Notamacropus eugenii: one gene and its partners. The protein of the gene in region 1 binds, or shares a complex with, the protein of each later gene. Links are inferred from orthologs where the notes say so. Each region holds a gene or a part of one and is shown in the gene's direction. Other genes may lie near its edges. The genes, in order: TAF8, TAF4, TAF12 and TAF13.

Region 1 (7,800 bases):
ACCAGAATTTTCAGTAGGTTAAGGGCACGGAGCCCTGAATTTTACATCTGAGTTGCTTGATTATCTCAGATTCCAGCATGTTCCAAACAAAAAAGACAAGCATCTCCACGGACACTAGGTTTTAATAGGTTAACCCAGAAAAGAAAATATAGAATCATGGGATTTAGAGCTGGAAGACCTTACACATGAAGAAACTAAGGTCCACAAAGGCAAAGTGAATATCAGAGGTCACGGAGCTGGTAGCAAATGCAGATTCAAACACAGGTGCTAAGGCTGCAAATCCAATATTCTATCCACTACAGCAGGCTATGTGGCTAGAGAGGTACGACATCTATTTCTCTTGCCCAGAGCAGGCTCTTTAAGAGTAACTAGCTGGGTGGCTCTTGGGCCAAGATTTGAGGGAATCCTGGAACCCCAGAGAAAAGAAGCTGATCCCCTAGGGGTAGGACTACTGTATGATCTGTCTCCCCAGAGTCCTGAATATCAATAAAAGTCTAGGTTTGGTTCCTGGAAGAGAGGTAGTTACCAGGATGAGTGACTGGAGATCTCTAACAGCCCCTTGCCCAAGAGCTGAGAGATAATCCCTCCCTCCTCTGTTTTTCTTTGTCCCTTTCTAAAATAAGTACACATTACTTTTTTTTCTGCAGTTCTTGTCTTTCACTGAAATCCTCAAACACTTTGTGAGGTGAAAAGAAATAGGGAACATCACTTGCCCATTAAGTAAATGCCAAGGACTGATCAATTTAATTCAACTCAGATATTTATTAAGTTACCATATGCAAAGCACTACTGTTAACTACTATGAGATGATACAAAAATAGATAAAACACAGGACCTGCTCATGAAGGACTTAAAATGTAACAGCGGGGAAAGACATGCCCAACTAGCTCTGATACAAGAGAAACTATGATAACTGCAAAGGAAGGTTCCCCATAAAGTGTTTTAAGAAATCTGAGGAGGGAGGGATTCGAGTCATCAATGCAGGAGGTGACAACCGGTCAGGCATGGGGAGTCTACATCCGGGCACTGGATAGGGCAGAACTGGGACCAGAACCCACCCGAGTGACTCTTTGACTAAATTTGTTATTAGGTTTCCTTGATACATAAGCATTTTTTGAATAATGCAAGCTCTAGAAATCTGGGGATGACATCAGGTTACTGAAATGAGCTAAAGGGTAAAAGTACTCTCTTTTTAAAGTGTAAACAAACCCTAGTAGGCAGGGTTTGTTTACTACTCATCTGTGTATTCCTAGTGTCTCTGACACAAAGCCTTGCACGGAGTAGGTCCTAAATATGTGTATAAATACATATAGACATACACATGCATATATATTCACACATATCCAAATAAACTCATATATCTGAATTGGCATACATAGCTTGGGGTCCCAGAACCTAGTTCAGGCACTCCGACCTTTTGTCTGGGAGAGGGTGAATGGGAACCCTTTGCGCAGGACAGAAAAACAACAGGATTCAGAGTTCCACGGGACGTTTGAGATCAATAATACCCTCTTATAAATGATAAGGAAATGATCGAGGTCAACCGGTGTTTGGGGGACCGGAGCTTCCCTTCCAAGCCCTCGGCCCTCGGGAGCTCCTTTAGTCCCTCCTGAGATTCCCCAGCCCCACGCTTCGGAGCCCTCCCCACTCCCCTTAAATCGGGATTTTCTTTTTACCTCCTAGACGCCTTTTCCCTCGGGACTCTCCAACCCCCCAGCCCCAGGTGCTCCCGAGGGATGGGCGCTGGCCCGACCTGCACGAACTCGTTTCGAGCCCCACCTCCCCCAGACCTGCTCCATCCACAGCTCCGATGCCTACCTAACAGGTGAGTCCTGGAGTCGCCTCTTCGCACCCTGTTCCTCCCGGCATGGACCTTCCAGCTCCAGAACTGTGTCCTTGGGGTAGGCCCGCCACTGACACCGGGCTGGACGTGGGGAGCCGAGGAAGAGATCACTCCCTACCTGCCCCTGACCGCTTCCATCTCGACCCCTCCTCCGCGCTCGAGCGGAGTGTTTACAATTTCGGTGCTGCGCTAGGGATTCGACGTTTGAAGTTGGGCAGGAAGTGGGGAGGAGGGGGCGGGGGGGGGAGACGGAGGGGCTGTGGGTTCCTGCTGTAGAGAGGTATCGCGCCCCCCTCCCTTCTCCCCCGTGGCCCCCTCTCCAGAGCCTGCTAACCCCGCGGTCTAGGGGCTGCCCCGGATCCGAACTCCGGGGTGCGCACGGACCCGAGGGGACCCCGCCCCCTGGCTCCTGCTTCTCAGAGCCAAGGGGAGGGGTGGGTGTAGGGGGGAAGGGGCCTTGCTGCCCTCAGGGCCGCTCTAGCACAGGTGTGGGCGTGAAGGTGGTAGTGTTGTCACCCAGGGTGAGGAGAGCACCCTCCTCTACCCAGAGGAGTACTCTGTACGTGGGCGCTGCGCTGTCCTGCCCCAAAGGTGATTGGAGTGTTCTGGCTTTGCTACTTAGTTGCATATCATTTTGATCACTTCGATGCCGCCCTGAATTGCAAGTTTCTCCTGTCAAATAAAAAGGTTGGACGAAATCACCTCAAAAGCCCCTTCCTGCTCTGAATATTATGGTCCTAATAATAAAGTCCCTTCTAGTAGGAATATTCTGCGGTTCTGTGGAGAAAGGGATTGATCTCTAAACCCTAGAATTGCTGTAGACTTCGTTGTGAAGGGGTGGAGCTCTTGTTAGTCACTGAAGCTTTAGTAACCTCTAGGACTCAGGGCAAAAGGTTTGGGATCCAAAAATTCTTGTCTCTTGACTGCTGGCGAAGGGTGTGGTTTCCTAACAATGAAGTGGAAAAAGCCTTGGAAATCTGGATCCCTGCACTTTGTGCATTTCACTTCTTCCAGATCTCGATTTCCAATTCTGTAAAAAGGGGGGGGGAGAGGAAGGGCTGAACTAAATTATGTCAAAGATCCCACTAAAGCAGAGGTATTTAAAAATATATATATATATTTGGTATTTTATTTTCCCTCAATTACACGTGAAAACAACTTTTAACATTCATTTTAAAAATTTCGAGTTTCAAATTCTCTCCCTTCCTCCTCATCCTGCTCATTGAGAAGGCAAGCAATTTGATATAGGTTATCCATGTGTAGGCATGCAAAACAATTTCCATACTAGTCATATTGTAAAAGAAAATATAGACCCCAAAAAAAACCCTTCAAGAAAAATAAAGTAAAAAAAGTCTCTGTATTCTGAGACCATCAGTTCTTTCTCTGGGGATGGATAGCATTTTACATCCTAAGTTCTTCAGAGTTGTCTTGGATCATTGTGTTACTGAGAATAGCTAAATCATTCACAGCTAATCATCTTACAGTATTTCTGTTACTGATGGGGTACAGGCTCTAGGAACCTGCTTGAACGCTCTTTGAATCTTCCCACTTGATTTGGCTTTTCATGCCCAAATTTGTTATGCTTAACCTAGCCTAGCCCTCCATTGGCTAGGACCCTCCTTAAACCCCATCTGTAGTTACTGGTTACATCTCTAGTTACTCTGGAGTTCTTGGCCAACTCTAGATCTCTCACACAATCTTTCTGTATATAAGATTCATCTTGCTTCCATGAAGGCGTTCAGATTCAATCTAGCTCACATTGTATCTGGCCCAATTGTCAATACAAGAGTCACAAATGCTCAGATTCCTTAAGAGTCTGTTCAATATGGCCAATCTTAAAAAAAAACAAAGCAACTTTGTTTTTCTTTGGCTGAAAGAAGGCTTGAGTCAAATTCATTTGGGCAAGACCCTGCTATTTCTGTGGGAGCACCCCTAAACCTCAACATTACTGAGTACACTATTCCCCTGGTTCTACTCATTTAACTCTGCATCGGTTCATGTAAGTCCTTCCAGGTTTCTGAGTGCATCCTGCTCATCATTTCTTATAGCATAATAGTATTCTATCACAATCACATAACACAACTTGTTCAGCCATCCCATCAATTTCCAGGTCCCTGCCATCAGAAAAGAGTTGCTACAAATATTTTATTTACATTTATAATATATAAATATATTTATTTATAAATATTTGTGCACATAGGTCCTTTTCCTTTTTAAAATCTCTTTTGGTATACAGACCTAGTAGTGGTATTGCTAGGTCAAAGGGCATGCCTGGTTTCATAGCTCCCTAGACAGTTCCAGATTGCTCTACAGAATGATTTTATCAGTTCGCAACCCCAACAGTGCACCAAAGTCTCAGTTTTCCCACGTCCCCTCCAACGTTTCTCCCCCTCCCCCTCTGTCCTGTTACCCAATCCAATAGGTGTGAGGTAGCATCTCAGAATTTTTTAATTTAGCAGAGATGTTTTAAACCTGGGGTTCATGAACTTGGTGGTTTGTTTTTAACATGATTATCTGTATTTAACTTAATTGGAATCCTTTGTATTCTTACGCACTGAAAAACATGATTCTGAGAAGGGGTCCTTAGATGTGCCTAAAGGGTCCGAGATACACAAGAAGGATTAAGAATTCCGTGCCCCAAGTCCAAAGCCTGTGATCCTGGGACACTGAGGTGTCTCTGCTCCAGGAGGCTATGAAGCTGCTGGGGTTTCAATGGTGAACGAAACACATCTAAGCTCCCTTTTCCTGCTGTCACCTGAGGGCGCATTTCCCAGGCTTTAGGCTCCTAGTGGTCTAACAAGCCAGCGTGCACTCTATCCTCTCGTGTAAGGCCACGTGAAGTCACGGACTCTGGTCACACCCACCACAACGCCCATCTTTGGAAACTGGAGCTGTGAGCCCGACCCCTCTCCCTCCTCCCTCCTATCCCTGCACCGCCCCCGCTTCCCCCTAGGACTACAGTTCCCAGGCTGCCCTGCGCACATGCACATTCTCAGGTATTCAAGATGGCTGACACAGCTGCAACTGCCGGAGCCGGTAGCTCAGGAGCGGTAAGAATCAGAGGGCGTGGGTCAGGGGCATGAGGACTTAGTCCCTGGCCTCAGCAAAACGGAGCAGCGCGAAGATTGGGGGGTCTCTGGAGTCAGTTCCCACACCGAGCCACTCTGGCCGAGGCAAAGGCCTCCCCTTCCAGTGTACCCCTCCCCCCACCTCTTCTAGCTCTTGGCCGCTCGAGTCCTCAATTGGCTAGTTCCCAGTAGGAGGCGGGGATTCCGGAGAAAGCGTCTAATTGGCTCAAGCTGCCCTGCCTTCTCTCTTATTGGCCCGATTTTTTGCCAATCGAAAAACCAGCTGGTGGGGGATTTAAAAGAACATTTCAGCGTCCTTCTTGTTATAAAAATCTGTTTGCAACGGTGCGAGTTAAACCACTTGGCCCTGTGACAGCTGAGAAGAATAATTCCTGTTTTTGCTATTCAGTTAAGCTCTTCCGTGACCCCATTAGATACTGGAGTGGTTTGCCATTTTCTTTTCCAGCTCATTTTACAGATGAGGAAACTGAGGCAAACAGGGTGAAGTGACTTGCCCAGGGTCACACAGCTAAAAGTCTGAGTCATGATTTGAACCTCTTTTCATAACATCAGAGACTTCTAGTGCTTGGAGGGAACATAGAGGCAATGAAATCCTTTTACAAAGTGTTTCTCATCGTATGTGAAATGAGGAGCTCTGAGACTGAAGGAGAGGAGTCGTTCTGGGGCTGGTTGTTGTCCTTTGTTCTCAGAGAGGACCAAAGTGACATCACTGTGCTAGAGTCAAGCTTAGATGTGTCCGACTATGGCTGACCAGACCAGTACAAGCTCGGAATGCTCTACCGCAGATCAGACACAAATAGTCCATGTGAACATTTGGGGTGGATAGTCTGAATTTGTGCATCCTGAGTTTCCTTCGAGCGCTTTTAATTCTGCTTTGCTCATAGAGCACAGCACCTTCTCTGATGTGGGAATGCCATGCTGAGTGTTCCAGTGTCAGTATCTCCTCGTGTGTCTCCCACCTTGAGGGTGTCCTTGTATCGCTTCTTCTGACCACCGTATGAATGCTTGCCCTGTGTGAGTTCTCCATAAAAGTCTTTTTGGCAAGCATATGTTTTGCATTTGAACAACGTGGCCAGTCCATCAGAGTTGCACTGTCTGAAGCAGAATATGAATGCTTGGCAGTTTAGTTTGAGTAAGAACCTCAGTGTCTGGTACCTTATCTTGCCAAGTGATCTTCAGGATCTTCCTAAGACAGTTCAAATGGAAGCGATTCAGTTTCCTGGCATGGTGCTGGTATACTGTCCAGGTTTCACAGGAATTCCACAATGAGGTCAGCATAACGGCTCTGTAGACCTTCAGTTTGGTAGTCAGTCTAATACCTCTTCTCTCCCATAGATTTCTTCGGATCCTCCCAAACACTGAGCTAGGTCTGACAATTCATGCATCAACCTCATTATCAGTGTGTACATCCCTGGAAAGAAAAAATTTTATGAAGACCTGGAGGCCCTTATTCTGGGGTATACATTGAGGGAAGGAATCATTAGCTTCCAGGGTTCAGCACTTCTTGAACACTCAGTGATTAAGCTAGTTAGCCAGAAGCACAAGTCAGAATGGCAGAGTTGCTGCATTTTAAAAGGGAGGTGTTGGTAGGCATTTATCATTCATTTCCCATCTGTCATGGGTGGTCAGTTTTATATTCTTAGAGTATGTGATTTCACCTTTAATATGTAAACTAAAACCATGCTCTCTTTTGTTGATTCATATAGAGATCAGGAAGCAAGCAGGCCACCACCCCTGCAGACAACTACTACCTGGCACGCAGGCGGACCTTGCAGGTAGTTGTGAGCTCCTTGCTGACAGAGGCTGGGTTTGAAAGTGCTGAGAAAGCATCGGTGGAAACATTAACTGAGATGTTACAAAGCTGTGAGTATGGAGGATACTAGCTGCTTTTTGCAAAGTCAGTCCATTAAATTTTTTTGAAAGTTAAATACCTACCTCCATGAAACTTCCTTGTGGTGGAGGTTGCCTTGAATTCTCAATGGTTTTGCTGATGGATTATAAACTTTTGCAGTTCTCAGAGTTTTCAGATATGAGCTAAGCAATGAACTTTGGTCCAAGAATGTACTTATTAAATTTGGATATACTCAGCAAAAGTTTGGTCAACAGATAATTTATTTTTCTCTAACACAGAAGCTTATGAAGCAGCTAAGACTTAGTGAATGAATGAACAAATACACTTTTTTAAACATTTGCTATATATGTTAAACACTCTGTTAAGCACCAGGGATACAAATACAGAAAAGTAAGGCAGTTCTTGCCCTCAAGAACTTACATTCTGTAATAAGTGAGATAAGTGGGTTCATTCTGTATTTAAAGAGGAGAGTGGGCAGTTAAAGGAGTTTTGGTCCAGGGAGTTACTAGAATGCTGAGTTGATCCGTAGGGCAGTCAATTAATATGCCCTTTCCAAAAGCTTTGGTATTATTGATTACTTTTCCCAGATCAAGAAGTGGAAAAAGAGGAATGGGGAGGGTATTTGTGCATTGGCAGAGTAGTTGGCAAGGTGGCCTTTGTGGACGGCTGGATGGAATACAAAGCATAGCCTAATTTGGGCTTTTCTGGGGCTGTGCAAATATCGTAGGGAAGGCAAATTTATATTCACTCAAGACATTTCAGCCTGTGAATAGAAATTCCAAAGCGGAGTAATTTCCGCAAGAATTGGGGTCATGGATTCTAGAGTGCAGAGGTTGCTGCTTTTGGTAGGGAGAAATGAGGTGACAGGACTGATCAGTAAGAAAGCATTTATTAAGCATCTTCTAAACACCAGGTGCAGTGCTAAGTGCTGCATATACAAAAGAGGCAAAAGATAGTCCCTGCCCTTGAGGAGCTTATACTCTAATGGAGGAGACAACATATAGACATGTATAGAC
Region 2 (6,929 bases), on another chromosome or scaffold:
AGACTGAGGCAATTTCCAAGCCATAGGAACTTGGTCTACTAGTGTTTCTTGAAAAAAGAAAGTACCAAGTCCCATTAACAAGTTCATTTTACAATAATTCCACATCCTTGATTATTGTAAATACAAAGAAACAACTTTCCCACCTTCCACCCTCCCCAAGAGCACCTCTTATGGGGCCTACCTAGCAGGGAGGTGCTTAAAATATATTGAAGTTGATTTAGATAATTTGCTTTTAGTGCAAACTTATGAGTCCAATGTTCTTTTCCTTGTATGTGAATGATTTTGTTTTTTGCCTGATAACATATTCAAATGTATAATATCATAGTTGATGATGCCACATTTGGAACCTGGCAAAGAAAGCTTGACAACAACACCATTAGGACGAAGTGCTATATAAAGGTTCATTGGATCAATTTTATTAACTGAAAAATAAGGGAAAGGGCAAAGATTTACTCAAGTTGCGTTTTGTCAGGTAGAAGAAAACTATTAGATATAATTAGTATGCATATCAGGGCTGTATCTTGGCATGATCATAGTACTGAGCATTCCTGGTATTGAAAGGTTAAAGCACTTAAAGATATTTTAAATTTAGCACTCCAGGGCTCAGGAGAAATCCTTTCAAAAATCCTCCAAAACCTTTGGGTTAGTGACTCTCCTTGACCATATAGGTCCTTCTAAAACCCATTTCCAATTCCCACCAATAACCTTTCAATTTAATTTACCTGTATTTATTTAAACACAGTGCTGTGCACCAGTAAGGCACTGGAAGAGATAAAATTTAAGTAGGAAATGTATGCCTCAATGGAGCCTGTAGTTCTGTAGAAGTGCAAGAACCAAACAAAAATCTCCATAATACACCATATTACACAAGTGCATTAATGAAATGCAAAGTAAAAAGTCATGTAGTTTACAAGGGTTGCTACAATCCTCCATGGAGGTGTTGATATTTTAGTTGGAATTTAAAGGATAGACAAGTAATTCCAATAAAAGCAGGGCCTCCCAGACTTTCCCCAGGCATAAATAAGGAAAGGCAGGAAGACTAGCACAAGTCTTCATAAATTTTAGAGAAACCCATTTTACTTTGGAAATGCATGCATAAATACATACTTGGTAGATGAGACAAAATAAATCAAGAACAACGATAAGAGGGTAGGGAATTTATCTAGAATCTCTATGAACCCTTGGATAGAGATGTCTGATACTTCAAGTGTCCGCATTCAGGGTAGCAATCAATGTAAGACCCAAACAGTTACTAATTCCACACAACAGCTCAAGCAATGAAACCACTCACTCTAGAATATAAAGTATTTGTGTTTGGTTTTTTTTTGGGGGGGGGATTACCACATTTTAAACAAAGGAAATAACATTTTTACCAACTTTTCTCCACCCCCAACAAAGCACTAAAACACTTATAATTCTAGTTCTAAGAAACTCTATTACAGTAACACTGAGCAAGGAACAGCAAATGCACAGCTAACTCTTTAGAGCTACCACCATTCATTTAAAAACTAAGGTTCCTCCACAGGAAGAGTGTAGCCACTATTTGACCTTCCATATTTAGACAAAAAGAAACTACCACCCACACAGCTTGCCTGCCCACAGCCCCTCTTTAGCCCCAGAAGCAGGACACATTCCTCCCATTGTAGTTTAATGAAACTAGAGGTTACCATGTAATCACCATTGTTTCCTTCTACGCTACTTTGTCATCCTAAGATGGAAGATCTCATGCTTTTGGAGTTCGTCAGGATTCCGACTTTTTTTTAGAGGAGTAATCAAGGTGATTATTTAAGGTTATATTATTCACTTAGAGATGACTTTTCCACCTCGTTTCTCCCCTGCATTTCCGGTTGCTAGTCGCATCTCCACCAAGAGGTAAGGGAATAAAGTACAACTCATTCTATTAAGCAGCTTGTTCACAGGTCTGTGGTGGAGGGAGATGACAGGCCAAGGTTAAAAAGGTTTTCTTTCTCCATCATGGGTCTCCATTAATACACAGGAGGGTGAGGCGGTATGTAAATAAGTGACATAATCTAGGTGGCAGGCTCCTTACTCTACTCAGTAATTACCTGCGTTTTTAAAGTGAGGAAATCACCCTGAATTATCCCTTCCGCATGAGGATGCGCAGGAGGCACACATGCGGGACGACGCTCGTAAACCTGTGTTTACAGTTTTCCTGCGTGCCGAGATAAGTAAAAAAGGACTGAAAACCAACCTACAGTAACCCCCTGGGGATCGGGGAGTCAGGCTTTATGATCCTTTCAGATGTCACTTCCGATCAAGTTAACCCGAAGACAGTTCAAGTTTGGCCTGCTCCCCCGTCAGGTACATTCATTTCCCTTCGCTGCCTTCTCAGAGCCTCTTTCCGCATCCTTCCCGCCCCGAGGATGCGCCACTGTGGGACCCCCGGCTGGCCGGGAACATCTCCCCTCACCCCCACCCCACTTCCTCTGGAACGCGGGAGGAAAGGCATTGTCGCCTGTGCCAAGTCTAGTCTTCTCCCCGACGCAGCCAAGCCTCCCAGGGCCGCCCAGGCTCTGCTGCGATGCCTCGGTGCCCCCCCCCCCCATCTCTCCCTCCTTCCTTCAACCTGCTCCAGGCTTAGGCTCCTCCTCAGCCCGGCGCGGGGGAGCCCCACACAAACAAGCCGGGAGGCGGTGCAGCCGGGATGACTCTTCCGAAAAGGACTCCCCCCGCCTCCCCCCAAATCTCTCCACCTCTTGAGGGTGTTTCCCCTTCCGAGGAAGGGAAAGGGGTGTGTGTGTTTGGGGGGCGGGCGAGGAGGAGCGGGGTGGGGGGGTGGTTTGCAGACTCCGTGGGGGTCAGTGACGAGAAGGGGGTGGGGAGTTGTCGGCAGCGCCGAGGGGGGCGAGGACACCCGTGAGTGGAAGGGAGAGAGTGAGAGACACCCCCTTCTTGCCTCCACGCCAGCAGCCCCGAGGTCCCGAGCAGGCGGCGGCGTCCCCCCCAAAACAACCCAACAACTGCCTCCTTTTCCGACTCGAGTGACGAGGCCGAGGCGCAGCCCACAGCCTCCCCCGCCCCACTTTCTTCTCTCCTCCCCCAGACGCTTCTTCCCACAGCGCAGCCCTGTTTATTCAGGAGGGCGTCCGACGGCGACCCGAGCAGGGGCTCCGGGGGTGGCGGCGACAAGAGGCGAGGGAAGCTGCGCCGAGCGCGCGGGGTGAAATGGCGGTTGGCTTCGGGGTGTGCGGCCTCAACCGCCGTTCTCCTCGTCCCCCATCCCCCCCATCCCCGTCCCCGCTCCCCCGCCTTCCTTCCCTCCCTCCTCCTTGAGCTCGGGCTGGGCGGGGGTGTCTCAGTTACACGCAGCTGGCAAGCGGCGGCGACGGCACAGGTGCGGGGCGGTGGCGCCCTTCACCCCTCGCTCGCTCCAGCCACACTCAACCCGCAGCCATTTTGGAGCAAGCAAAGACAAAGAGTGAACCACCGCCTGTCGCCGCCGCCGCCCCACACCAACTCCTCCACCCCGCCCCATCTCGTCTTCCTCCCCCGCCCGGTCCGGCTGCGGCGCTCCGCTCCAACCCCTCCGCAGCCAAGCCCCGGGGCCGCCTTCACCGCTCCCCGGGCATCGAGCTACCGCCGCCGCCGCCAGCGGCAAAGGCTCCGCATCCGCCCCTCCCCCCAGCCACCACCATAGCCGAGGTCGTCGCCGCCTCCCTCCCCACCCACCCTCCACACTCTTTCCCCTCCCCCCGCCCTTCGGTCTCCCGACTGCTTCCCCTCTCCACTCTTCAATAACGCTCGCAGCCATTTGCCGTCGCTTTTAAGCGCGCCGGGCAGCCAATCAGGACGGGCTGGAATCCCGGGGCCGCGGTGACGCGCCGCCGTGGCGCGCTTGCGCGGCGGGCGCGGAGGAACCTCCCCGCCTCCCTCCTCCCTGGCGGCCCTCCTCCCCTCCCCGTCCCCGGCTCCCCTCCCCCTCCCCCCTCCCTTCCCCACACAGCCCTCCTCCTCACCCAGTCGCTATTAGCCAAAGCGGCGGAGTAAAAAAAGATGGCGGCGGGTTCGGATCTGCTGGATGAGGTTTTCTTCAACAGCGAGGTGGACGAGAAAGTGGTGAGCGACATGGTGGGCTCTCTGGAGTCCCAGCTGGCGGCCAGCACGGCCCATCACCACCATCACCCTCACAGGACGCCCGAGATCCGGGCCGGAGGCGCCGGGGGGCTGGGGAACCATGTTGTGAGCGGCAGCCCTGGAGGAGCCGGAGTAGTAGGAGCCGCCGCCGCCGCCGCCGCCGGTGCTAATGTCCAGACGGAGAGCAGCAAAATGGGACTGGCCCAGGAGATCACAAAAGCAGGTAGAGCGGCGGCGGCGGGGGGCGGCGGGGGCGGCGGGTCCGGGCCGGGGGAGAGGGAGCCGAGAGGGAGCGAGAGAGGGGAGCCAGGGCCGATCCCCCTCAGCCCTGCCGACCCCCCTCCCCAGAGGGGGGCCTGACACCCTCCCGGGGGCACCCGGCGTGAAGGGGCTACCCGGGCCCGGGGGAGCCCCGGACCCTCCGTGGGCGGGTGCATGGGGGATAAGGAGGCAGAGGGGCAAGGGATGGGGGGTCCAAGACCCCTCCCTGGCTACAGCGAGGGGACCCTGGTGGGGTAGAGGGAAGGGAGAGGGGACCCCCCTTCCCCAGGGTGGTCCAGCCATCCCAGGGGGCGGACGGGGATGGGGTCTGGAGGAGCTGACATCCCGAGCACAAGGTTCTGACACCTCAGGTGTGGGGGGTATCAGTAACTGGGGGACAGGGAGAGCGCTCAGTTCCGAAGGGGGACCCCTCCAGAACTGATGTTTTGCTCCCTCGATTTTTCTCACTCGCCAATTTGTGTCTCCCGTTAATATCTTAGCACGTCTTGGCTGAAGTAATGCCCCCCAGACCTCCTCCCCCTCCCCCGCTCTCTCTTTTTTATTTTATTCTCTCCTTGTTGTTGTTGTTGTTGCAGGGGCCGGAGGAGTGCAAGGGGGTGTTATTAATCACAACACGACCCGGTCCCAGGGTTCAGCTCTGCTGGATGGAACCTCCTCGTCCACCTCCACCAGCAGCAGCAGCACCAGCACCAGCAGCTCCACAGCAGGCTCCGAAGCTGCTGCTGCTGCTCCAGGGGCTGCTGCCATCAGTCAGGGCAAATCGGTGGTCATCAGCAGCACCATGGCAACCGCCTTGTCCTCCAGAAACGGCAAGATCGGTACCACCGCCACGGTGCAAACTTTGAATGGGAGTAACGTCGTGATGAACTCTCACCATTCAGGAAGTGCTGTTGCCTTTGCTGGGACTCCGACTGCTGCTGCTGCTGCTGCACCTGCTGTCACCCTCGTCAACAACGGACCAGGATCTGTGGTGTTGCCGCTGGGGAAGGGAAATGCTGTCAATGCTGTTTTGCCTTCAGCTTCTTCTAACACTGTCATCCAGACTTCTTCTTTCCTCAGCACTGCTGTGTCCTCCTCTTCCTCACCCACCGTTATCTCCTCCTCCAGCATTGGAAGTGCGGGACCTACCGTGGCACTAGTGAGGCCACCAATTCACACAGCAGGACCTGCTGCGGCTTCTGTGGCTGCAGCCACCCAGAATGGGAGCAATACTGTGATCAATTCAACTATCAGTGTGGGGAGTTTGCCTGCTACTGCTGCTGCTTCTGTAGCTACTGTGGGTTCTGGAGTTTCCCTTCAGGCATCCCTTGTGAACAGCCAACCTGGCTCCAACATGCCAGCCACAGCCACCACACAGGTCATCAAATCAGAGTCCCCTAAAACTATAGTGCAGGCAGTGCCTCAGCAGCAAACGTTGACAACCAGTGGCCAGTCCACCGCAGGGGGTAACATGATCATTGGGCAAACTATGCAAGGTGGCATCCCCAATCCTAGTGGGATACCACCTCCTCCTCCAGCTCCTGGGACCCCTACAGGGATGGCTAAAGGCACTGCCAACACAGTGGCACAAAGTCTGCCAAGGACTCCAACAGCTACTACAGGTGGTATCCGAGCAACATTGACTCCTACAGTTTTAGCACCCCGTCTGCCTCAGCCACCTCAGAATCCTACAAATATTCAAAATTTTCAGCTACCCCCAGGTAAGAAAAGCATTGAAGTATTTATTGTGGTGAAAGGCAAATGATCCAGATACTTTAGTTATAAGTCATAGGAAGTTCTTGTTCTCATTTAAAATGGTAAGGCCATTTACCTTTTTTGCCAGTTTTATGAGAAGTGTGTTATGCTGGTTCTTGTGACTGGGACATGCTAAGTAGACCTGCTTTACAGACTTTTGTACTGCTTAAATCTTTGTATTTGCATTTTAAGTCTGTGTTCAGATCTTCCCACCCATAACATCATGGTGTTCTGCTGATGCATATTCCTATTTAATCTTCTTCATTGCATCTTTGACTTTTGCTTAACCTCTGCCCCTGTACGCCCCTGCTGCCAGAGGAAGCAGGCTACTTGCTCTACAGCAGCAGGTATGTCACAGGAGAAAAATTACTTCGCTATGCGAATGTACATTAAAACAATCTTGGATTTCAATTTTTTTTAAAAAATTAGAGTTCTAGATGTAGCCTTGCCCATTAGTAGTTTCTGCAGTCAGGTATGATGAGTCTTTACCTCACCACATATAATTTTTGTGTTTGTCATCAATTGTTAGAGGAGTTCCTCAGATAGGGGAGTATGTGGACCTGGTTTCCAAAGGTGACAGAAAGATAGAATGACACACTACACTCCCTGTTTTTAGGGCTGCTTGATTAAGTCTTTGAAAGCTTTTACTCTTTTCAGGGTATACTTTAAAAAAGTATTTAGATATCAGAATGATATTACAGTTTTTAAGTGAACTGAGTCTAAACTGACTCATAAAAATGAGTCTACAAGGATCACATCATTCAGGGTTAACATTCTAATCCTAAATTGTACTTTAAGTATTTTTTCAATATTCTCAA
Region 3 (7,979 bases), on another chromosome or scaffold:
CATCTTCCCTTCTTTTCCTAACCCCTCTCCCAATGGGATCTCCCTATCTTGCCCAGGCTGGAAGCATGGTGGCCGCTCACAAGCCTGGCTCCCCTTCTGATTTACATGCAAGTTTGATTTGTTCTGTTTCTGATGTGGACCAGTGAAGTCTCCTTAGATAGCCTGGTGGCCCCACCCTCTGTAGCGTTCACTATATTAATGCCTGACTTAATGTAGGCACCCATTTGGCACTAAGATACTACAGCTCAGCATTCCCAAACTCAAGGGAACGACTAGCCTCAGCCTCTCCTAGAAGAAGGGATTACAAGCATGTACCATCACTCCAGCTGGTCTGTGTTTTTCTAATAGTCCTTAATACCTTTTGGCATTATAGGGCAGATTTTAGTTAACCCAGCAACAAAAACCACAATGGAATCAGGAAAACTCTTTGTGGAGAGCATCAAGCCATCTATCCCTCTGGCTAGATCCCACATTCCCTGTAGACCACATGACTCATGCTGCCCACAACTTCCTGCCATGCTGACTTTTTTCCCTTTGGACCTCTCTGAAGGGCCACGTGAAACTGGTCCTTTATGTTTTCCACTTTTGTTTGAGGCTCCCAATCTTAAAACCTAGCTTTGCCACTTACTACATCTGTGATCTTGGACAGGTCATATGTCCTTTATAAAACCTTCATAATTCAACCTGGGGATTGGATTCAATGACCTTTAGATTAGATGGCTCCTTCCTGGCTATAAATATATGTATCATCCTCTGATTCCTATCTTCTTTCTTTCCCTGTAGTCCTTCCACATCTCCCCCTGGCATGGGCCCTACGTTTATGTGATGCCCTATCAGTACTTCTTTTGGGGGTGGGGATTATAGGGGAATGAAAAGATAGAAAAGACATGGTTCCTGCCTTAAAGACCTTGCAGTGCAGTAAGGAGATAACATATCCATATTGAATATGGGTTCTATTAAATATAAGCAATTCCCTTCATCAAGCAGATTGCAACCCATCCATTTTTGCCAATCCATTCACACTAATCTTCCCATGAATTCACCATAGAGTGCTCCACCCAGTCTGTAGGAGCTTGGTGTTCTTAGCTTTCTGTGGATACCAGTGGATCAGGCAGGCTGTCCATCAGTGTCTAGTGTCTTTTGCTCTGTGACCAGCCCATCTATTTTTCTGGCCACATACTTATCTGATAATATTTTTATATGATTTTTCATACATAGAATATTATTTTTAGAACTATAAGGGACATTAGAGGTCATTGAATCTAACCTTTTCATTTTACAGATAAGGAAACTGGCATACAGAGTCTGCTTGCCAAAAGTCACACAGCTAGTAAGTCTCTCAACTGGGATTCAAACCCATGTTTTCTTAATTTCAGGTCCAGTATTCTATCCACCACACCATCATGCCTCTTAGAATTTTGGGGTTGACTTTGGGTAGTTGCAGGGCTTTTTTTAATGGCCCCAAATTTCCTGAAACAAAGACCCACTAAAAAAATTCAATATACTTTTATTTGAAAAATAGGTCACAAACTCTTGAGTGCAGACCTGTTCTACCATTGTACAAGTTACAAATGCTTGACAGCTGAGGGCAAGCGTTTAGTAGCATTGAACAGTGAATAAAAATCCACATAAAACAAATGTCATACTAGAACCAGTATGACCTCATCTCCTGCTCTTCCATATTGTTGCATCTGAGTCAACGCTACTCTTCAAACACATTTAAAAACTCTTAAGAATTAAGTTAATACGCTCCCCAAATCCTCTCAATTCAAACTAAACTTACATTTAATGGCTATCAACAGTTTCTCTCTGTTGATACTAGCTGAAGTACAAATGATGCTGAGGAATGATGCTCCATTCTGCTGTACAAGCCTTAGACAGTGGCCCCATCCTGGGCCTTGACTTCTTAGAAAGCTTCTGCTCCTTGGTTTGTTGCCTGCATGGCAGTTCTGGCTTAGAGGTCACAATGTAGAGAGGGGCTCTGGAAGTCACTGAAAGGGAAAGTAGCTACAGGACAAGCACCCATGTTTTAAAACCACCTACAAGCTTCAACATGTATTTCTGGTAAAGCACAGCATTGCACAATTTGATCCAGACACTAACCTATTGGTCCTCATATGCTAGAAGAGTAATATTTCACATCTGGTTAAGTGTCTTCCACATCTTACCATGCCTGATCAAATGAGATGCTGTTCAACGTTTGATATTCTCCATCATTCACATGATACATAAAGGTTTGGTCATTTTCATCATTTTCTTCATCAGAACCTCTGTATTCCTTTAATATAGGTTGTTTGGTTTTTGGTTTTTGGATAATGATGTTAACCCCAAGTCCAAAAGGAATGCAACATAGTGTATCTCTGGTCAGATATGTCTGACTCTAGATTCAGAAGGAAAATATTTGACCAGTGTTGGGTGGATTACACTTGTTATCTGTTCATATTTAAGCTCGACCACTTCAGAACCAGATAAGCCACCACCAACCAGTATTAGGTGGACAACCTTAATGTCAGAGATACATCAGGCATCAGAAACTGCTTATACAAAGGTTTCTGGATCCATGCAATCATTTCACACATGAAACTGACTCCGGCAACATTCATATTCAGTGTTTTGGTTTTTTCCAGATCAGAGACAGCCTACTTATTTTGAATGGCACCAAACTCAACAAGTAGATGACAGACAGCTTTGGAGTTAGCAGTAACAGTCTGCAAAATGAACTTTGTCCAGTGATCTCTGGTAGTTTTCATTCACTTGACTTCACTGTCAGAAGTCATTTTCTCTCCCTTGTTGTCAGTGTACTTAATTTGTGACATTTGCTTAAAGGTGCCTAGATGATGCCCTTTGGAGGTATTTCAGTCTTGCTAGCATAGGACATTCAAACCCTGCTCCTGGAGTAGCAAACATCTTTCTAGCTCTGCCATTGTGACATTTGAAGCATAAAAAATATATTCGAAGAAATGCTCTGTACCATCCCACATGTTTCTTGAGGATGTCTCCAAGGTCAGCAACACAGAAGGCATCTTCATCATCATCAGAAGAAAAAGAAACATTAATTTGGGGGTAAAATATCCTTAAGAGTAAGCCTTCATCAAGTAAATTGGAGTCAAGTTTGTCCTTGCGAAACTGTTCATGGTTTCCAGGCATTCTTCAAAAGGACAACAAAATAGGAAATGAAGAGGTGGGATTTAGAGGCTAGCTCTTCAAGAATGTAAAGAGGCCACATTATGGACATCTCTGAATACTAAGCTAAGAAGTTTGAAATTCATTGATTCTCTATTGTTGATTTGGTCTCTTCATAAAGTTAGTGCTAATGGAAGAGAGGAAATGGGTGCATGGTAAATTTGGAGGCAGAATTGACAAGATTTGTAATAGTTGAGCATGTTGCCAAACTTCACAGAACAAATCTTTGTTTGATTTGTTCTGTGAAGTTTGGATTTAGTCAAAGGGCTGCACTTGAGGATCTAGAGGGCCACCTGTGGCCTCGAGGCCACAGGTTCCCTACCCCTGGTAGACATTTGAGCATGATCATGAGGACTGGATTATAATCTGGAAGAGGCAGTACATGTAGATAACACCTGTGAGAATCTAGAAGCCCAATACATGCATTCAATTAGCAAGTGTCCCTTACCTTGTATGGGGCATAGAGCCGTGGAGCAGAGAAGATGATCATTGCGATATGTCCCTGCTTTCGAGGATCTTAACTTGTAGTCGGAAAAGTGAAATTGTAATAAGGTAAATAGAGTTTAGAAAGTGCTAAATGTGCAAGAATACAAAATGTTCTGAGAACAGGTGAAGGAGAAATCTCTTTGGGATTATGCCTTAGGTCACTCTCGAGTTAACTGTGTGATTGTTCATGTTGTGTCCTGTGCTTGTCATTCATGGTTTATATGCAGTTCAAGTCTTGTCATGAGAGAGTTCATTAATGAGAAACCTCTAGGTAACCAATTTATTTATTTTTTATCCCACCACACATATTAGAAGTTTCATCTTAAGTGTTTGAAACATGAGCCTAGAGCCAGAAAGAAGACACTGACTTTATGTTCTCCAACAAGGATCTTTCAAGTACCTGTAGGATTTGTCATGGAATCAGCAGAGTTTAAAGGGAGCACGTCTGCACTGATCTTCATGGGTTCTCTGGCCAGTTTGTAGCTTTTTGTAGAACACTTTTCATCATTACTTTAATACCTCAAAAATATGTATTTCAGCAACACAGATCACAACCTCTCTACCCATTTGTGTGTAGTCTTCATGAGTTGTTATGGTTAAAAAAAAAATCTCAGAGTAGGAAGGAGCCTGAGAGGCCATCTTATCCAATCTTTGTTTGGACAAGACTGGTCCCTGGACAGCCAACACATAGTGTGCATCACAGGGCCTCTTCTTGCAGCCTTTCTAATGTGGTGTGACCAGCCAGTTTGCTTTCCACTGGAATAAGCCCCCACAAACCACTGTGCTACAGTGAAGCAGCAGAGTCTGCCTGTGTGAAACCAGTCATTGTGAGCACTCCATTAGTAAGCTAGTGCTGAGAGGTGAGACAACAGAATGCACTTTTTAAACAGGGACACATTAGAGTCGTGGTCAGGGATAGGGCAGAGAGGTACATGTGTATACACGCACACACACATGTGCACACATGCACTACTCAGAGTTTGCCAAAGTTCTGAAAGGATTGGTCTGATACTGATTCCAGCCCCAACCCTGTGGTGGTACAGCCAGACTGCACATCCCCACCTGTTGGTAGGCTGCTGTCAGTTTTATCTGCTCTGAGCTCATTCCTAACAATAGACATTTACCCTTCCAGGAGCTGGTGGGCACCCCCGGCAGCAAGCCTTAATAACACTGGCTTCGTGTGGCCAGGCAGGCCGTTTTTCTGGGTGCTCATTGAGGACAAGCAGCCTCCACTGCCTCCTCTCTCTGGCTAAGACCTGATAGCCCAAGTTGTCTGGTGCCAGTTGTTTACTTTCAGAAAGATTTAGGCAATGGCTGCTCCTCCTTTCACCGGGCTCACAGCAGTTGCTGATGTAATTAAAGATCTAGACGCTCAGATAGCTGTAAGTAAGCTAATTAATGCGACCATGGCATCTGTGGCCAAAGTTTTTGAGTGTGCACCATCTTGTCATGCTAACAGGCTCAGGCCATTTTTAAAAGGCTGATCTGGCACGATTAACAGAACCAAAAGATAACTTACTCTTAAAATTGTTAAGCTTTGTGCTTATTGGACATAACTGCATTGAGTGTCAGTGCATGATGTGGTGTGTCAGTTAACATGAGTTACTAATTTCTGAATCACTGGGGCTGTGCCCCTTTCTGCAGAGGTGGTTATGGTGTATAAGTGGAGTTTCTTTTTGGTTATTTGAATTTAACACATATTTTCCCCAGATGATCCTATGTCTTCACCAAATGTTCTGTTTTTATATAAACCTCAGAAATATCTTACTCTTTCCAGTCAGTGTCTGTGTATGACTTTTTGGTCTGTTTGTCTTCTTTCTGTTCTGAAGACCCTTTCAGAGAGTTGTTAAAGGAGAGATGATTTCCAAATGTCAGGGAAAAGCTATGCATTCGTTTCTCTCTCCATTTTTATAATCAAAGGTATTAATTTGTGACCATTTGAGGTGAACTCAGATTCTGAAAAAATCTAACAAACACACAGTTTTTTAAAATGTCCACCCTTTGTTACTGATGCTTCTAAAATATATTTTTATGTTTTCTTTCCCCAGTTGATTGGCCTCGGTCCCCATAATCCCAAAAAAAAACAGGACCTTGACAAGCTCCATGAACTGAAGGCCAAAGCTCGACAGATTATGAACCAGTTTGGCCCCTCAGCCCTGATCAATCTCTCCAACTTTTCATCCATAAAACCGGAACCTTCCAGCACCCCCCCTCAGGGGTCCATGGCCAACAGTACCACAGTGGGAAAGATGCCAGGCCCCCCAGGGGCAGGGGGGCGTCTTAGTCCAGAAAGCAATCAGGTATCAGTTGTCCTTTCGGCATGGGCTTCTGGGAGCTTTGTTCATTGTTTACTAATGCCGGTGTTATTTCTCTATGATAAAGGGAATATATACAAGCGTTGGGGTAAATTATTAGAAAAGAATAGGATAAGCATGTTTGAGTCAGTTGAGCTGTAGCTTTCTTAATTTAGTTCTATATTTTCTTCAACCCAGCCACCATTCTGAGACCTCAGTTGTTATAATTAAGCACCTACTGTGTGGCAGGTGAGAGGCAGAAGGGTGTAGTAGATAGAGGGATAGCCTTGGTCATTACAAACTGGGATTAAGTCCTGCCTCTGACACTCCAGCTTGTTACCCTGGGCAAATCACCGCTCTAAAACTATGAATGGCCCATCAGCACTGGCAGAGGAAGTGTCCTCACTGGCAACAGGCTTTTGCACAAATGAAATTAAAGATCCAGACCACAAAAAAGAAAATATGTTAGGCACTAGGGATGCAGAAACAGGGTAGTCCTCATCCTCAAGGAACTTAAAGAGTCTACAGCATATACACACTTTAGATACAGAATAATTTGGGAGAGGGGAAGAGCACTAGCAGCTGGGGGGATTTAAAGAGGGGGCCCTGAAGCTGAGCTTTGAGTGGGAGCTGGACATAAGGAGGGAGAATTTTCCACTTACAGCAGACAGTCTATACAAAGGCACAGCGTAGTGCAGAAAACAAATAGGCCAACTTGGCTATAAGGTGGAGGGGAGTGGGAGATAGGATTGTGAAATAAGCCAGGAAAAAGAAGGGATGGGAATAAGCATTTCTACAGCACCTACTATCTGTCAGGTACTATGCTAAGCACATTTTTACAAATATCTCATTTGAACGACTCTCCCGTGAGGTAGATATTGTCATTACTCATGTTTTACAGTTGGGGAAACTAAGGCAAATGGAGGTTAAGTGATTTTGCTCTTGTAAATAAACATCTGAGGCTGGATTTGAACTCAGGTCTTCCTGACTCCAGGCCCAGCACTCTATCCACTGAGCCACCTAGCTGCCTCTAAGGAGGTAGGTAGGATTGTAGATTTAGAGTTGAAAAGGATGTCAGACATTATGTAGTCTAACCTCTGTGTTATTGATGAGCAACTTGGGGCCCAGAGTTGTTAATTGGGGTCCTAGAGTCTAAGTCAGATTTGAACAGAAGTTCTTTGTCTCCAAATCCAGCAGTCCTTCCACTGTTGCGTAATGAATTTTTACTTATTTTGTTAAATGCTTCCGGTTACATTTAATTTTGTTCTGCTGCACTGGGAGTTTGAGGGACCCTAAGGGTGGGTTGAAGAGGTGGGGAACTTATTCTAGTAGCCCAGGTGTGAGACATGAGTCAGGGGAGCAACATCTAATGGAGGGACAAATCCAAAACACATTTTGAAGGAAGAATCAGTATAACTTAGTAATTTGATATGAGAAAAGAGAGTGGGATGAACCAAAGATCAGACCCCCAGCGCTTCTAGCCTGCACAACTGGGAGAAAGGTAAGGCTGTTGATCCCAAGTGAAGCTCAGAAAGAGGCCCTTTGTGCAGAGAATAAAAGGTCAGGTTTAGCAGGAAACCTCCCCCTGGTCAACAAAGCCAGGAGGTGGCCATGGGGGCAGTGGAGCACAGCAAGCAGAACTTAGATGGTTCCTTGGTGCCTTTGCCTGCCCTGGGGTCCTCGGGCATCTCTGCAGTCCCCCAAGTTCTCAGAATCTTTACACCTTCCTGGTTTACGTTGCTTCTCCAGGTGTGCAAGGCATTGCTGTCCTTTCCACCTGTTCTTCCTCAAGTGTGCTCCTGCCAGAGCCCTATGCTCCTCAGAAGCTGTTAGAGCTAGGGGGAGGAGGAATTTTCTAACCAAGGTCCTGTGGTGGGGGGTTACCTTGGAGCCTTGCATTGCTGGACAGACAGCTACAGGGCAGAATTTACATTAACCATGTCTTTAACTCTCATCACAAATTGACCTGTTTATGTATTTACCTAAAGCATGGCTAAGAATTCTTCCTCTTCACTA
Region 4 (7,504 bases), about 180 Mb from region 1:
AATAGTCTCAACTTTTTCAGTGAAGTATAAGGCAAAGTTCTCAGTTGAAAGAGTGAGGGAAAGAAGTGCCATGGGAAGTTTGAGGAAGGGTAAAAAGGTTTGGAAAAGCCACTGTGGTAAGTGGGAGAGTGAATTAATTAGCAAGGTGTACATGGATTGTCTTGCCACAGTAAAAGCCCAGTTACACATATGTAATGGATCCCGTCAGTGCAGTTTCATGATTTTTTTTCTAGCTTCATTTAGTAGTAGCATGTATATAGGAGTAATGACAGTGGATGATGGGAATAATCCAAAGCTAAGGCTCTTCTGTTATTATTGTTCAATCGTTTCAGTTGTATGCAAGTCTTCATGACCCCATTTGAGGTTTTCTTGGCAAAAATACTGGAGTAGTTCTCCACTTCCTCCTCTAGCTCATTTTACAAACGAGGAACTGAGGCAGATGGGGTTAAGTGACTTGCCCAGGGTCACACAGCTAGTAAGTGTCTTCCTGACTTCAGGTCTGGTATTCTATCCACTTTGCCACCTAGGTGCCCAGGCTCTGCAGGGCAAAATTATAAGGGGGCAGAGGACTCGAGTAGTGCACAGTGTAGAGTTGAACTGATTCACCAAAGGGTCAGGATGGGGAAGGGATGGTAGTTATTGCAGAGGTTATATCTTAGGAAATTGAGGGGTTGAGGGATTGGAGGTTGGAAAGAGGCTTGTGTTTGTCCTCTGTTTTGGAAGAAGACCATGACACCAGAGAAATGATGATATGACTTGCACTTGACTTTGTTTTGATTGAGGGAGGGCTGTGCAAGGTCACCAACCTCACTTTCTCCTCCTGAGCCAATCTAGGTCAAGTGACCAGATATTCATCAGGATGATTGGAGATGGTCTAGGACACAATGGGAGACCTTGGCCTTCTTCGGCTGACCTTTTCAGGTACTCATAGGGAAGTAATGTCCATTGAGTGAACAGGCTTCTTTAAGAAGTAGTCAGGGAATGGCCCTTTTAATGAACAAAGAAAAAATAACTAAATCAACCTGGGAGGGAACAGAAACTGTTACTATTGATAATCAGTCTAAGCTGGTCATGAAGTAGAGGCTTCAGAATGCACTGGATTTAAGGTTCTATGAAGGAAGAAAAGAAAGGAAGGAAGGAAGAAAGGACATCTAGCCAGTAAACCTCAAAGGAAGGGGAAAGGGAGACAGAAGGGAGAGTGTGAGCTGGGTCCCCACTCAGGTAGCTCAGTCTACTCACAGGTTGTGTTCATCCTTTGTTTTTGCTGAACACCATGACATCAGAGAAATGAAGACATGACTTGCACTTGACTTTGTTTTGAGTAAGGGAGGGTGGTGCAAGGCCACTAACCTCACTTTCTCCTCCTGAGCCATCTGGGTCCAGTAACCAGATATTCATCAGGATTAGTGGAGATGGCTCAGCTGGAAAGAGGCAACAGGGATGGAGAGGTAGAATTACAATAGATTATGATCAGATAATAGTATCTCAGAGTTCATGAACATGAAAGCAATACACTTGTAGGTAATGGTCAGATCAAGGATATGACCATCTCTTTACTCAGATGAGATGGAGCAGGTCATGAGAAAGTTATCCCATAGGTCTTCTGTCTCTATTCACACAGCTACCACCATAGTTTAGACCTTCCTCACCTTCACCAAGACTACTGCAAAAGCCTTCTAGTTACTGTCCCTGTCTCAAGGCTCTCCTTATTCCAGTCCACCCTGCACATAGCTAACAAAGTGATTTTCCTCAAAGGAGGTCTGATCATTACCCCCACCTACTCCAGTGGATCCCTTTAAGCTCCAGGATCAAATAATAAGGTCATTTCTTTGACTTTTAAAGATCTTCATAACCTGGCCCCTTCCTATCATTCATCTTCTTACACCTCACTCCTCTTCACATCCTCTAAAATCTGGCTATGTGGACCCACACTTGCTATTTTTCTCATATCCTCATATCACGTTCCAGCTCCTCACTGCACATCTCTGCATTGCCCATCCTTCATTCCTAGAATGCCTGTCCTCTCTCCTCACCTATGCCTTAATTTTCCTGGCTTTCTTTAAGATCCAACTCAAATCTCATCTTAGGTAGTAGAACTTTCCCAATCCTCCCTTCTCACTCCCCAGCTGCTAGAAACTTTCAAGGTTACCTTTCAACTGGGCTATCTCTATGTATCTATTCAGGTGCATCTTGTCTTCCCCACTACAATGGGAGTTCCTTGAGGGGCAGAGCTGTTTTTCCTCGGTCTTTGCATTCCCCCAGTGATTAGTACAGTGCCTGGCACATGATTGAGACTTAACAAATTCTTATTGTGAGTGCTTGATCACTTCTGGTAAAAATGGTAATTAGATCAGATAGTTACTTTGCCTGAAGACATTAGTTACCTTCTAATAGTAACTCATATACATTTGTTATAGATACATATATGTATATATACATATATGCATATATATGCATATACATGCATACATGTATAGGTAAATACTTTTTGGGGGGTCCCAGACATATGATTTCATCTGAGAGCATAGGGAGATAACAGTGAAGAAACTCTCTCAATTTAGACAAGCAACTATTCGTCAGTTTATAGTCTTAGAAAATAGCCTGGGACACTGATAGGTTATATAGTAGGTAAATGTCAGGGGAATTTAAATTCAGGTCATCTTGAACCCTAGGTTGCCACTTTCTCCACTATATTGTACTACCTCTCATATTATGAATATACAAAAACACATATTTTTGTTAAAATAGTTTTACATCTTCTTACGTTAAAAAGAGTCACATATCTTAAGGATCAGAAGACTAGAATTAGGATATATAACAAGTGGGCAGCTAGGTGGTGAAGTACAGTGCCAGGCCTGAAGTTAAGAAGACTCATGTTTCTGAGTTCAAATCTGGCCTCAGACATTTACTAGTTATGTGACCTGAGCAAGTCACTTCCCCCTGTTTGCCTCAGTTTCCTCATCTGTAAAGTGAACTGCAGAAGGAAATGGCAAACCACCCCAGCATCTTTGCCAAAAGACCTCTACACAAAGTCATGAAGACTCAAACATGACTGAAGTGACTGAACAACAACCTAATAGGTAAAAGACACGTGCAAATATACACAAAGACAGAAAATTAGGAGCATAAATGGAAACTGTAACTTTCAGGGAAATAATGATAACAGAATTTACATAGTGCATTAAGGCTTGCAAAGTATTTGACATATATGATCTCATTTTAACCTCACAACAATCCTGGCAAGTAGAGGCTATTTTGCAGATGAGGAAACTGAGGAACAGAGAAGGCAAGCGACTTTCTCAGTGTCATACAACTTAAGTATTTGAGGCAGCATTCAAATTCAGGTTTTCCCCACTCTGAGTCTTGCACTACATACCACCTAGCCTGCCTTACAGGACAAAGTGGTAAAGAACTTCTCTAAGTTCATATTGGAACTTTCTTGATGGGAATGTAGAAGTCTCTCTACAATTCTTCTCCAAGTCAGATAAAAAAATGCAATCCCAAATTACCTTTCTCAAAACAAACCAAAACAAGCCTTTACTTTTTATTTTTTTCAAGCTGCAGAAAATACAGCTCTCACCCGCACACATTACTTTCCAGTCTGAAAGGGATTTCTCTCCCCTCAAATTTCTCCAGGTACTCCTACTACTCGTATTTGCAATTGCCAGTTTTATAGCTATCTGTATGCATTCCCCTTATTGTTAGGTGGTCCATCCTTCCCTTTTGAAAAGGACCAGGGGCATCATGGCGGTGATGACTTCTGCCGTCTTGACTTAGGAGTAAACTGGATTTAAGTGAGGCAGAGTTGCATAAAGTGGTCAGCCTCACTCTCTCTTCCAGAGTCATCCAAGTCCAGCCGCAAGACAAAAGTCAGGAGGACTAGCTATGCAGCGGGTGACCTTGGCGTCTCTGATGTCTGACCCAGCTCTAAGGCCTCCACAGGGTCTGCTTCAGCCACCTTCCTGAGAGCTGGAACACACTGCTCTCCTCTTCGGGCTGCACCAGGGTAGGCCTTCACGTAACTCACTGAGGGTCATCGGAGGGGTCAGCTACCCCGAACAGGCGCTGCTCATGGCGTCCCAGGTAAAAGGTGGGCTCCAAAGGTGGATGGATAGTTCTGAAAATGCTAGTCTTTCCTGGGCACCCCGTTATTCCGCTCTAACCCAAGTCCGGGATCTTTCCACCATCCAGCGGCGCCCTGGAGGTCATTTCCCACTTTGTGTGTAGGGACAGAAGGCTCCCAAGGATGTCTCAGGGCACCCTGCCTCTAGATTTCCTGCTGCTTGTCACTAAACTGGAAAGGAGGGATTCTCCAGCTTTTATATTCGCATCCCTGCCGAGTCTCCCCGTCCCCCAATCCACAACTGGCTGATTGAGAGATTTTTTTCAAATCACTGAGGGTCACGCGCCTAAGCCCCTCCCCATTCGTCTCTGACGAATCAGAGACCCAGGCATGCGTGCGCGTGCGTGTCGAGACGTGCTTCTACTTCCGCGTGTGCGCGCCTTCTCCCGAGCAGCAAGGAGCGGTTCGATCAGATGATGCGGTTCTGACGTGGAGGTGAGGAAGCAAGAAGTGAGGAAGCGGAAGGACGGAAGCGGAAGCTCGCGAGTTCCCCCGCCCTCCGAGCAAGAGAGGAATTTCTGACGGTTGGAGCCGGGGACGGGATGGCTGATGAGGAGGAGGACCCTACTGTGAGTGAGCAGGCCTCCCTCTCTCACCTCCTCTCCGCTTTCCGCAGCTCGGAGCGAGCAGCGGCCCCCGGCCGCTAGGGCCTAGAAGCGTGTGCGGGCGGGAGCGTGCTGAGGCCCAAGGCCGGGGAGCCCCGGGAGCTCGCGGTCGCTTCTCTGCACTGCGTGCCCGGCTTCCACATTACCCCTTCTCCCTCGGTTCACTGTGGAACTGGATTTGTGCGGGCGGCGTAGAAAAATGCCCCAGCAGTCAGTGATGCCTGCACAACATTGCCCACAGACGTGGGGAGAGGCCGCCGAAAGCCGCGATACTCTTTCTGTTCTCAGTGTCGTGGAAAAGACCCGGTGTATTTGTGGAGTCCAAGGGCGCGTGATTTTGGCCGAGTCTCTTTTAACTCCTTTGGGCTTTGAACGAACTCCTTTCTTTCTCTACATAAAGGGAAAGACGTTACTTATAGTATTTACTTGAATTAAGCAGCTACCTCCTGATTAAAGCTTTTTCGGATCCCCTGCTAGTGTGTTGTATTTTGTGTCTATATTTTGAACGTATTTGTATAGGCACAAGTTATCTGTTCCCCCCATGGGACCTAAGTTTTTTGAGGGTAGAGACTATTCATTTTTGCTTTCACATCCCTAGCGTCAAACACAGTGCCTAGCACGTGACAGGCAGAATAATGAATGAATGTTGGTTGTTTGATAATTCCCTGCCAGGATCATTGTGGGAAAAAAAAGCCTTTTAATCTTAAAAGCCTCTGTGTATATGCATTATTCGGAGATGATACTAAATGTTGTTTCTGACTGTAAACCTGTGGGAATCAGGAGAACTCTTTTCTGATTTGAGTTTCCCTCTCTGGCCGTGAAACATTCATTTAGCATATCAAGGTCTCAGTTTCATCCTTTACAAAATGAGAGTATTGGACTAGATGATTTCTGAGGACTGCCCGACCTCTAAAATTGTATGGAATTCATCTAGACGACAAGATATTCAACCTAGGATATCCTAGTTTCAACCACATTATTTTAAGAGGGGCATCAACAGATGGGAATTCATCTAGATGAAAGTGATAAGAATAGTGAGAGGTTTGGAATGGTTTGCATAAAATGACAGAAGGAGCTTAGATATCATCTGGTACCCTTAGTTTAAGGATGACAGAAAGACTTGCTTAAGAGCACATAGTAAAAGGCAAAGCCAGAAAACTTGGGAGTTTTCTGACTCCGAAGTCCACTGTACTTTCCAGTACATCACTGCCATAAAAGGAAAGTTTGAAAACTTGGTGTGCTTTGCTTAGGGAAAACTAAGGAAAGACATGGATAGCTCTTTTCAAAGATTTGAAAGGCACTCAGGAAAAAAAAAGACTTTTTTTTGTGCTGCAGAGGACAAAACAAGATTAATGATTGAAAGTTAAGAGACAGATTTAAAAAATTTTTTTTGAAAAAAAGGGAAAACTGTACACACTGACTGTAATTGTGGGCAGGTCATTTAACCTAATCTCAGTACCCCAGCCAGTTCTCTATTCATTAAGTTACACGAGATAAGTCACTAACCTACTTTAGTAAAACAAGGAGTCTCTACACCAAGAATTACTTGGATAGATGAAGTCACCCAAATCCTTCATCTCTCCACATTAGCTAATGTATATAAAGCACATATGTTTTAGCTGTTTATATAGCATTATGTGTATGTTATTTTTTTCTCATTATTACAAAATACATTTAACTATTCAACAGGAAAATGAATAGCCCTATTACATTCTAATCTTCCCTTCACTCATGCAACAGCTGGGTAAACCATTTGTTCACCAAATTAAGGCTTATTGTATTTAGTTTCAGGATTTTAGGGTTCTACATTGTAAAGAGATTTCTGTGTGGATATAGAAATGGTTATTTGCATCCATGACCTATTAGATGCCTTCCAATTTTAGTTCATTTTTGAAAATAAATTTTTTATTAAACATTTAAAAAATCTTCTTTATCTCAATTCTTTAAACTCTTCTAGTTTGAGGAAGATACTGAAGATGTAGGAGGAGGAGCAGATGGTGGACAGGGTAAAAGGAAAAGACTTTTCTCTAAAGAATGTAAGTATTATATTTAGTATTTTGATTGTGGATGTCATGCATTGAAGATGAACATATATAGGCATTCTCTAAATTAAAAATGGGTTGTGCTTTATAAGTTACTAGTTTGTTGCTGGGAACAAAAAGAATCTTTCCTTAGAAGTTATGCTATAAATAGTGATTTACAGGTCTCAAGCCATCTATAAAAGCCTATTTGACTTCTAATGTACTCCACTAATATCTTGCTGTGATGACCCATTATTTTATGACGGCAATCCTCACTTCTTGAAAGCTGTGCCAGTGGACTGTAAGCTCTGGTAGGTCCTAGCAAGCTACAAAGCCTTCATGTACAGGTCTGAAAATAGATTGTATGCCTGTTATTTAAAGACCAGTTCAGGTAAGTTTAGAGAATCTTATCACCAGATTGTCCACTGGATGATTAATTTTTTTCAGCCATAGCAACTGTCAACTGTATTCTTAATTATAGAAGGTTTATAATTCACCCACAACAAAATCATAAATTGTCTTGCCCATAATGTACCTCAGTGATGCCAACTTAACCACCCTTGGTAGTAATACCCATCCTTGATAATAATACTTCTGTAAGAAAGCATTTAGAATTCAAGCTTTGAATATCAGGAACATACCTCTCCCCTACCCTGATCTTCATGCTTCCTATATAACTGTGTGAAGATAGCCAGGAAAGGCACGCATTGGGAAAGGTATCAGGCTGAGAAAGAATTAAGGGGAAAATTCCAGGC

The links.
Region 2: TAF8 (region 1) and TAF4 share a complex: the UniProt entries of both Homo sapiens proteins name them as parts of the TFIID basal transcription factor complex. The link is inferred for Notamacropus eugenii from reciprocal best matches to the Homo sapiens genes TAF8 and TAF4.
Region 3: TAF8 (region 1) and TAF12 share a complex: the UniProt entries of both Homo sapiens proteins name them as parts of the TFIID basal transcription factor complex. The link is inferred for Notamacropus eugenii from reciprocal best matches to the Homo sapiens genes TAF8 and TAF12.
Region 4: TAF8 (region 1) and TAF13 share a complex: the UniProt entries of both Homo sapiens proteins name them as parts of the TFIID basal transcription factor complex. The link is inferred for Notamacropus eugenii from reciprocal best matches to the Homo sapiens genes TAF8 and TAF13.

Annotation. Positions count from the first base shown.
Region 1 is NC_092873.1:103,086,142-103,093,941, forward strand, and holds the start of TAF8 (transcription initiation factor TFIID subunit 8), read left to right. Parts: upstream 1-4,792; 5' UTR 4,793-4,848; coding exon 4,849-4,893; intron 4,894-6,638; coding exon 6,639-6,795; intron 6,796-7,800. UniProt on the Homo sapiens protein: The TFIID basal transcription factor complex plays a major role in the initiation of RNA polymerase II (Pol II)-dependent transcription.
Region 2 is NC_092872.1:501,253,059-501,259,987, forward strand, and holds the start of TAF4 (transcription initiation factor TFIID subunit 4), read left to right. Parts: upstream 1-3,886; 5' UTR 3,887-4,014; coding exon 4,015-4,318; intron 4,319-4,952; coding exon 4,953-6,077; intron 6,078-6,929. UniProt on the Homo sapiens protein: The TFIID basal transcription factor complex plays a major role in the initiation of RNA polymerase II (Pol II)-dependent transcription.
Region 3 is NC_092876.1:69,738,163-69,746,141, reverse strand, and holds the start of TAF12 (transcription initiation factor TFIID subunit 12), read left to right. Parts: upstream 1-4,946; 5' UTR 4,947-4,979; coding exon 4,980-5,051; intron 5,052-5,717; coding exon 5,718-5,969; intron 5,970-7,979. UniProt on the Homo sapiens protein: The TFIID basal transcription factor complex plays a major role in the initiation of RNA polymerase II (Pol II)-dependent transcription.
Region 4 is NC_092873.1:287,197,123-287,204,626, reverse strand, and holds the start of TAF13 (transcription initiation factor TFIID subunit 13), read left to right. Parts: upstream 1-4,496; 5' UTR 4,497-4,665; coding exon 4,666-4,692; intron 4,693-6,685; coding exon 6,686-6,764; intron 6,765-7,504. UniProt on the Homo sapiens protein: The TFIID basal transcription factor complex plays a major role in the initiation of RNA polymerase II (Pol II)-dependent transcription.